2 linked regions of the Tribolium castaneum genome follow. The protein of the gene in region 2 interacts with the protein of the main gene of each other region in a biochemical or structural test. Links are inferred from orthologs where the notes say so. Each region holds a gene or a part of one and is shown on either strand. Other genes may lie near its edges.

Region 1 (3,230 bases), on a different chromosome or scaffold from region 2:
AGACAATAAAATGTTATCTTTGACACACCCGGATGCAAGAGGAGTGGATGAATGTTGTTAGGAGGGAGTCTCAAAGATCGTGGAGGAGGATATTTAAACTTTTAACACACTAAGCATTGCATTTTTCGGAGTGTTGAGAGGACACCACACAATTAAATGGCTCGGTAAATAAGTTATTCAATTTTTCTAACAATGAAACACAATCATTTCAAAAAATTAACTGACACGTTTCTCATTGAAAAAACAGTGTTTAAACGAGATGTTTTGCAATGCGATAGGTCTCACAAACACGGGATTTTGATCTCCACTTCACCGGAAGGAAAGGACAAACTCCTAGGATTAGGATTTTTTAAATAAATTGTAGTAATTTTCGGGGGATTTTAATACTTTTCCTAGGATTTTGGCGATGAAGTGGATTTAAAACTGTTTGAGGATTAGGATAGGATTACTAGGATTAGGATGAGTGTACCGGAAGGACCTCGTGGATTTGTTCCCAGGTATTTGAGACTTCTTTTTCGTTTTTTATTAATATTTTTTTATCATTTTGCTTGACAAAAAGTGTGGCTTTTTGTTGTTTTCACAATTGCATGTTTATTTCAATAAAAAATTCTCAACTACAACGTCTTTTATTCATTATCATATATCCTAACGATATCCAGCGGTTTGGCGGGAAGATTCGTAACCGGACACTTCTGGTTGTCCCTCAAATACCGCAAAATGCAAGGAAAGCAAAACACGTATCCGGAAACAGGAAGAACAGTCGGTATTTTCCAAAATTGTAAACAAATCGGACATTTATTGTGATAATTTCGGGCTTTCCCATCGAGCTAAACAATCAAATTAGCACTACTACCAACACTATCACTAGACTCACCATTGGTGGTTTAACAGTTGGCAGCGCCGTCACACTATAATTCTGGTGAGCGCTCCAGGCTTGCAAAAACTGCAAGAAAAACGCCCCAAACTCGAAGGTACTTGTAACCGCGTTTTTCAAAATATTCAATTGCCACAAATCCGCCAAATGCCCTTTGAATAAAAGCGACCAGAAACTTGGCTCAGGTGGAAGTGGCTCCGAATACGCCAACTTGACATCAATCAATTGAAGAATCGGCAATTGAGCTTCGGTTTGTTGCGACATGTATTTAATATAATTGTAAACTGTGAGCAGCCCCCATGTTATCTCAAACGTGGAGTGGGACAAAATTAACAGTTTTTTGAACCGGCCCTCGAAATTCTAGGGATTTTTAGTAGTCGGGTCAGTTACGTTGGCATACATTACGCAAACAACCGTCGGCGTTTTCCAAGCGATACAGAGCCACCTTTTCGTCCAATTTCCGTTTGAAATACGGCAAAAACACGCAAAATAACAAGGAAATGCGACGGTGGTGACTCGTCAATTGATTACCAGAGTCGAGGACACGCTTCAAGCCGTAGAAATTCTCCGAAAACGTGGCGTCTGAAATATACAATTATTACAGTTTTTGGGGGGTTTACTCACCGTAATTGCGCAGGTAGCCGTACTGGAGGCCACAATTCAATAAAAGAAAAACTTCGTCGTAGTATTTGCCCAACCAGTTGAATTTCTGGGGGCAATTAGTGGCCAAAAACTACGGATTGTTAGTTTACGCCTGAAAATTGTAGCCTTACCAGCGCGATTTTCTGCAGTGCCGGGTGGAGGGTGTCGTTGAGTGACTTTGACGCGATTATTTCGAAAATCGAGGGTTTGTTTTGCGAAGTGAGGGTGAAATTGGCTGCGTTTTCCGCCATTTTTTGAATTACGGTTGGCGGGCCTGGCGACAGGTTATGTCTCTGTGGGGCTGCTCACATTGTTGCTTTTATTCGTGGTTATTCGTTATGAACGCGACAATTGTGTTTTAATCAGTTTGTGTGTTTTTTTTTGTGTTAGGTGGGCCGGGAGTGTAAAATTGCACAAATCACGGGTGCGTTGAACGTGTGATGGCAGCACTTGTTGATTGTCAATTGTCAAAAATTTTGACCATATGTTGATAAACAAAATGCTGTGATTACAAAGTACAATGGTTAGACTAGTGTTAGTTTGTGTACTTATTAGTGTCTCGCTCTGTGATGATTTGATTTCGGTGGTTGTGGTGAGTTGGGGGGCTGCCGAGTCTTTAACCCCTTTGCAGATTTACAGGCATGGTGACCGCACCCCCATTCAGCCCTACCCGAGGGACCCCTACCGCAACGCGTCGTTCTGGCCAGTGGGCTTCGGTCAGCTGACGAACGTGAGTAGCCCCCTTTTGCGCAGTGTCACTCGTTTGATTAGTTGGGCAAACAGCAGCATTTCCGCTTGGGTCAGTGGCTGCGCCAGCGCTATGGGGGCTTCCTATCGCCGCACTATTCCGAGAAAGACTTCTCCATCCGTTCAACGGACGTCGATAGGACGCTCATGTCCGCCGAAGCCAACTTGGCCGGCTTGTACCCCCCCAAAGCCGACCAAGTGTGGGACCCCGCCCTCCCCTGGCAGCCCATCCCAATTCACACGACCCCCGAACTGGAGGACAACCTCCTCTCAATGAAAAAAAACTGCCCCAAATACAACTCGCTTCTAACCCAACTTTTCAAAACCGAGTTTTTCGCCAACATTAGTCGACAAAATCGGGACTTGTACGCGTATTTGAGCAAAAATTCAGGGGCCAATATAACGTCCCTCGAGACTCTCGAGTATCTATACAACACCTTGTACATCGAAAGTTTAAATAAGTTTGTTTTGCCCCAGTGGACCTCGGGGGTTTATCCCGAAAAAATGGCCCCGTGGGCCCACCTAAGCTTCGCCACCCAGTGTTATAACAGGGACTTGGCGAGGCTTAAAACGGGCCCCCTTTTTAACGAAATTATTGAACATTTTCGCAACGCTACCAAAAAAATTGAAAATTTCCGGAAATTTCTCGTTTTTTCGGCGCATGATGTCACGATAGCGAACGTACTTAACACAATGGGGGCCTTCGAGTACCATTGTCCCCCCTACGCTAGCACCATAATGTTCGAATTGAGGCGAAATTCAAGTTTTTATCTCAACGTTTTTTACAAAAATTCCAGTCAAGTGCAGAAAATTACGCCAAAAGGGTGTGATTTCAACTGTGATTTTGACGAGTTTATTGCGCTTTTAAAACCCATCGTTATTACACGAAAACAGTGGGATTTAGAATGTCAACTGTCTAATTTTGAGCGTTATAATCACATTTTTGTGTATTCAAGCATTGCGATTG
Region 2 (4,340 bases):
AAGGCCATGAGCGCCGTTAAATTATTGGGTTCCAGTTCTATACACTTTTTCAATGCCGGTATGGCATTACAGTCCTGTTCGTTTTCCGCTTGGGTTTTGCCTAATAGTAGCCAAGCTTCGCTGTTTTCAGGCTCTTGTTTTACGGCCGCTTCGAAACATAAAACAGCCGACGGCAGATCGCCGTCTTCGAGCAGTTTTTTGCCTCTTTGTAAAGGGTCAGGAATATCAAACATGGGATTTTCTTCGGTAAAGGTATAGTCGTTGTATGGGGCAGTATAGTAGGAGTCGAATTCGCTCGCCCAAGTGTTTTCGCTAGATTCGGCGCCTTCTAGAGTTTGTTTGAGCTCTTCCTGGAGGTTGTTCCAGTATTTGGAATTGAAATCGTCTTCTGAAATTAGGGCTCAAGGCTAGTTCTCGACCTAATCATTCATTTTGTATTAAAACAAATAAAATTTCTTGATATCACTCGTAAAAATCAAGACTTCTGTAACTTAATATTAAATATTTAACATTCATGTGGGATAAGAGCATTATTCACAAACTGAGCGAAAATTGCACAGTTGTGTAATCGGATAAGTTTGTTAACAATGCGTTATCACAACAAAAAATCCATATCTTAGAAACAGCTTTTTTATATCACTCGCCTGTATTTATTTATTTGGACTTTAAAATGTGATATTTTTCAAGAATTTTTTTTTGAAATTTCTTTTAGGTTTCGAGTTATTAAAAAATATTTTTTTAATGGCACACTTGTACGGCGATTTTTTTTTTTTTGGATGACGCTTGGTTCCAACGTAATTACAGCAAATAACGAATACAGCGGAAAGTTTTAATAAATTCAATGCTTACATTCGAGAGTAAAATTAAAAATTTCCTTTTTAATAATTAACTTTGCTCAACTGAGTTAGGTAAGTGATGTTGATAATAAACATAAAGGAATTTTTTCCTGTGTATTTTTTTATTTTCTTAAAGAATTCTTTCTTCTTGCCTTTGTTCCTGAGAGACTGGCAGTGATTTTTCTTTTTAGTTTTCAGTTCTTAAGTAATTTCCGATTTTTATTTTTATTCAAGTTCTATATTGTTTATTTTATTTTAATTTAATTTTTTTATATTTTCTGTTAATTTTTCTTTGAAGGTAAGTTGAATACCTTCAAGCTAGACTGCGCCTTCTCATCTGTTTATTATTGTTCAATTTTATTTAATAAAAAGCTTTGATTTATTATTATTATTATTTTTATAAATAAACTATCAAAAAGAAAGTAAACAAGTGTCAAGAACATAAAAATTAAAATAAAAACTAGATTTTAAAGATAAAAGCGCTATTAATAACTATTAATTAATTTAAAAAAATGTATTTTTCAATTAAATAAAAATTGAATCCAGATGAAATTTTCATAGGAAATTAAACTTTTTTGTATTTCATGTGAATAAAATGTGGAAAACAAATACACAAACAGAAAATAATACAAAAAAAAAGAAACTGGTTTAATTTAAATCCTTGATAATTATTTAATTTATGATCTCGAAATTTAATAAAATTCGCTTTTTGGTTTTTACTTACCTTGTACTATTTTTTTTTCTGGTAATAATATATTAAAAAAATCGATAATTTGTTCTGAAAGTATAAAGTGATAGGTAATCATGTTAACTACATTCAAAAACTTAGTTCAAAAATCTAACAATTGAACAGCTATATCTCGTAACAAAAGGCTTAAACAATTTTTTATCAAAACGATTTCTAACTCAGTTGGATGTCTTTTTTCATTACCTAAGATATATGATATTATTCTGTATAATCGATAATTTTTAATCGCCAATATTTGCAAAACCTCAAAACCCTAGCTCAAGCCTTTTGGTTTATTACTGATTTTAACATTTTTGTAAAAAATAAATAAAAACTTTTTAAGGAAAAGATGGTTACCGTAATCCTTTTCCCACTTTTTGGCGACTTTTTCAGCCTCCGCTTCGTTGTTATTTTGGAGGAACTCCTTGCTCCAGGACTGCGCCTCTTCCTCCGTCAGCCTCCCGTCCTCCAAATTAACATCACCATCGCCGACTTGTTTCATGAATCTCATAAACTGAAACCTATTCATTATTTACCGTCCCCAAACCCTGACGTAACGTCTGACCTTCGAATACACAAATTTGGGGTCATCAACAGCCTCAACAAACTCCCGAGCGCTCTGCTGCGAGGCATTTACCTTGCTGGGCCCTGGCAGTATCTCTGGGAAATTATCAGTGCCCCAGTCGTCCACCACAGCCGCATTGTTCTGCTCCTGCGAGAGGATCTCCGTCCAGATCGCCTCACTGTTCACATTGTCCTTGAACACAAATGACAGTGCAAAACTCACAACCAGCGCCTATTTACATTGAAGATTTTCCCGTCGTCGATGTACTGCTGCGCCCAGGCGTCGTCGTGGATCTGGTCCTTGATCGTGGAGGCGGGAATTGGCGGCAGCGCCGACCTTTGAGACTCAATTTCGTGCATTTCTCGCATCAAATCTGGAAGCGTCACAGGTGAATTACGGGGGTTTTAACGCACGGGGGGGCCCTACCGTCCATCCGGAAGCTCTGGGGCACCGACTTCGTCTCTTGCAGGAACTGCTCGACCAGTTGGTCCGAGCTGCTGGGGAAGGCATGCCCGTGGGCCTCCGCGAAGGCATGATCGTGGGTCAGGTGCGACGTCAGGCGGGCCAGGGGGTTCTTCTGGCCGCACTCGGCCTCGGTCAAGGGGTTAAATGCCATTTTTTCGGTTTTTAGCCCAGTTTACACAACCAAGTGCATTTTATCAAAACAAATTCCAGATTGACGTAAGTGACACTGACAAGGCCACTGGCACGGCTGCCAACCGGCACCAGTGGCAAGCCACAATCACCAAAAAACGTGATAACTGATAAATAAAACTTTTTTTCTAATATTTAGTTAATTAAACACAACATTTGGCTAAAATAACGTAAATCTGATCGAATGTTTGGCTTAAAAGACTTGACGCGGCGCCAACTTGGTGCGTATAGTGACATGTCATAGTCACCAAAAATTGAGGGAAGCCCCGGGAGTGAAACAACTCGTTAAAATATATTTTATTACATAAGTAAATACAACAAAGACATCACAACATGGAAGTGATTATAGTCAACAAATTGGGTTAAAATAAATTAATCTGATAAAATATTTGGCTTGGAGAAAAAAAACACGGATCATCGTAATATTAAAACACAAAAGGTTGATATGGGTGTCACATATGTCGAAATTCCATTTCCACTAACAATTACGACAACTCAAACCCAGTGTTGCAAGTGACAGCGTACCGCAGCTTCTCCCTCAAAGTGCTTTTCTTTTGGTAGTTGGGCAGCTTCAAAAGATTGAAACAAGTGGAAGACGTCGGTAAGCGATTCTGTGGGTCCTTTTTCCGTATCGTGAAAAACCCCCGAAAGACGCTTCCTGAAATCCCCTCCAGATTTTTCCAAAATCTAACAAATTGCAAAAAAAATACCGATCGTGTCTCCCGTGTCTTCATCATCGCCAACTTCGACACACCTAATCGAAAAGGGCGGCTCCAAATGAGCGAAGCCTAGAAGCGGCGGTTTGGAACAACTTGTCACAAACTGCAATTACCTAAGTTAGGAAAATTGGGCTTTAAATTACGGGGGGCACCTTTAGGAACATTCCTTTCTCCTCCTCGGTGAAATCCTTTTCTAAAATATCCCACAGCCAACCCACCACGCGGTGCGAGTCGTGAAAACCGCCGTAATACTGAGTGTGTTTGCGCAAATCTTTCATGTCTAAGGGGACATTATCACCCGAGATAAGGCGTTGCAACTGGAAATTTATTGTTAAAAGAGCGTTTTCAACGGTTTGAACCCACTTCAGGTGTTGAAAAGAGCGACAACCAGTCGGGGTTGATAATCGAGCGGAAGCCGCGAATGAAAGCGCTGGTTTGGTCCTTGATTTGCACGTGCATTCGGAAGTGGGCCATCAAGTGGATGTAATTGATCCTAAAAGCACAATTCATTGGAATTAAAACAAAAATATTCGTGGAAAAAAGGAGAAAAAATGGTAATTTCAACAGAAAAAACAAAAATTTGAAAAATGAAATATAAAGAAAGACAAGACTTTTTACGTCTGACACTCCAAAGGAAATACATTAAATATCTTCATATAAAAAGGTCACTAATAAGAATTTTCTTTTTTTTATCTTTTCCTAAACCAAACTTTCTTTATTATTCATAAAAACTTCGTCCGTATTATAAGTTCTCACTTAGAAAAAATTATACTCTAAGGATTTTATTTTACTGAACATTGCAGAATACATATAACATTATTTGTATTATCCTATGTTCA

What was found.
Region 1: the proteins of Pex5 (region 2) and Pex12 form a complex in vitro, tested with the Homo sapiens proteins (2 studies listed by BioGRID). The link is inferred for Tribolium castaneum from reciprocal best matches to the Homo sapiens genes PEX5 and PEX12.

What each region holds. Positions count from the first base shown.
Region 1 is NC_087401.1:8,582,735-8,585,964, reverse strand, and holds Pex12 (peroxisome assembly protein 12), read right to left. Parts: upstream 1,783-3,230; 5' UTR 1,768-1,782; coding exon 1,648-1,767; intron 1,608-1,647; coding exon 1,499-1,607; intron 1,457-1,498; coding exon 1,275-1,456; intron 1,235-1,274; coding exon 875-1,234; intron 828-874; coding exon 627-827; 3' UTR 566-626; downstream 1-565. Other genes in the region: prostatic acid phosphatase, read left to right, coding at 2,037-2,108, 2,148-2,246, 2,288-3,230. UniProt on the Homo sapiens protein: Component of a retrotranslocation channel required for peroxisome organization by mediating export of the PEX5 receptor from peroxisomes to the cytosol, thereby promoting PEX5 recycling.
Region 2 is NC_087395.1:23,163,132-23,167,471, forward strand, and holds the start of Pex5 (peroxisomal targeting signal 1 receptor), read right to left. Parts: upstream 2,847-4,340; 5' UTR 2,745-2,846; coding exon 2,555-2,744; intron 2,502-2,554; coding exon 2,368-2,501; intron 2,321-2,367; coding exon 2,129-2,320; intron 2,078-2,128; coding exon 1,921-2,077; intron 389-1,920; coding exon 1-388. Other genes in the region: ubiquitin-protein ligase E3B, read right to left, coding at 3,268-3,440, 3,493-3,604, 3,654-3,818, 3,865-3,994.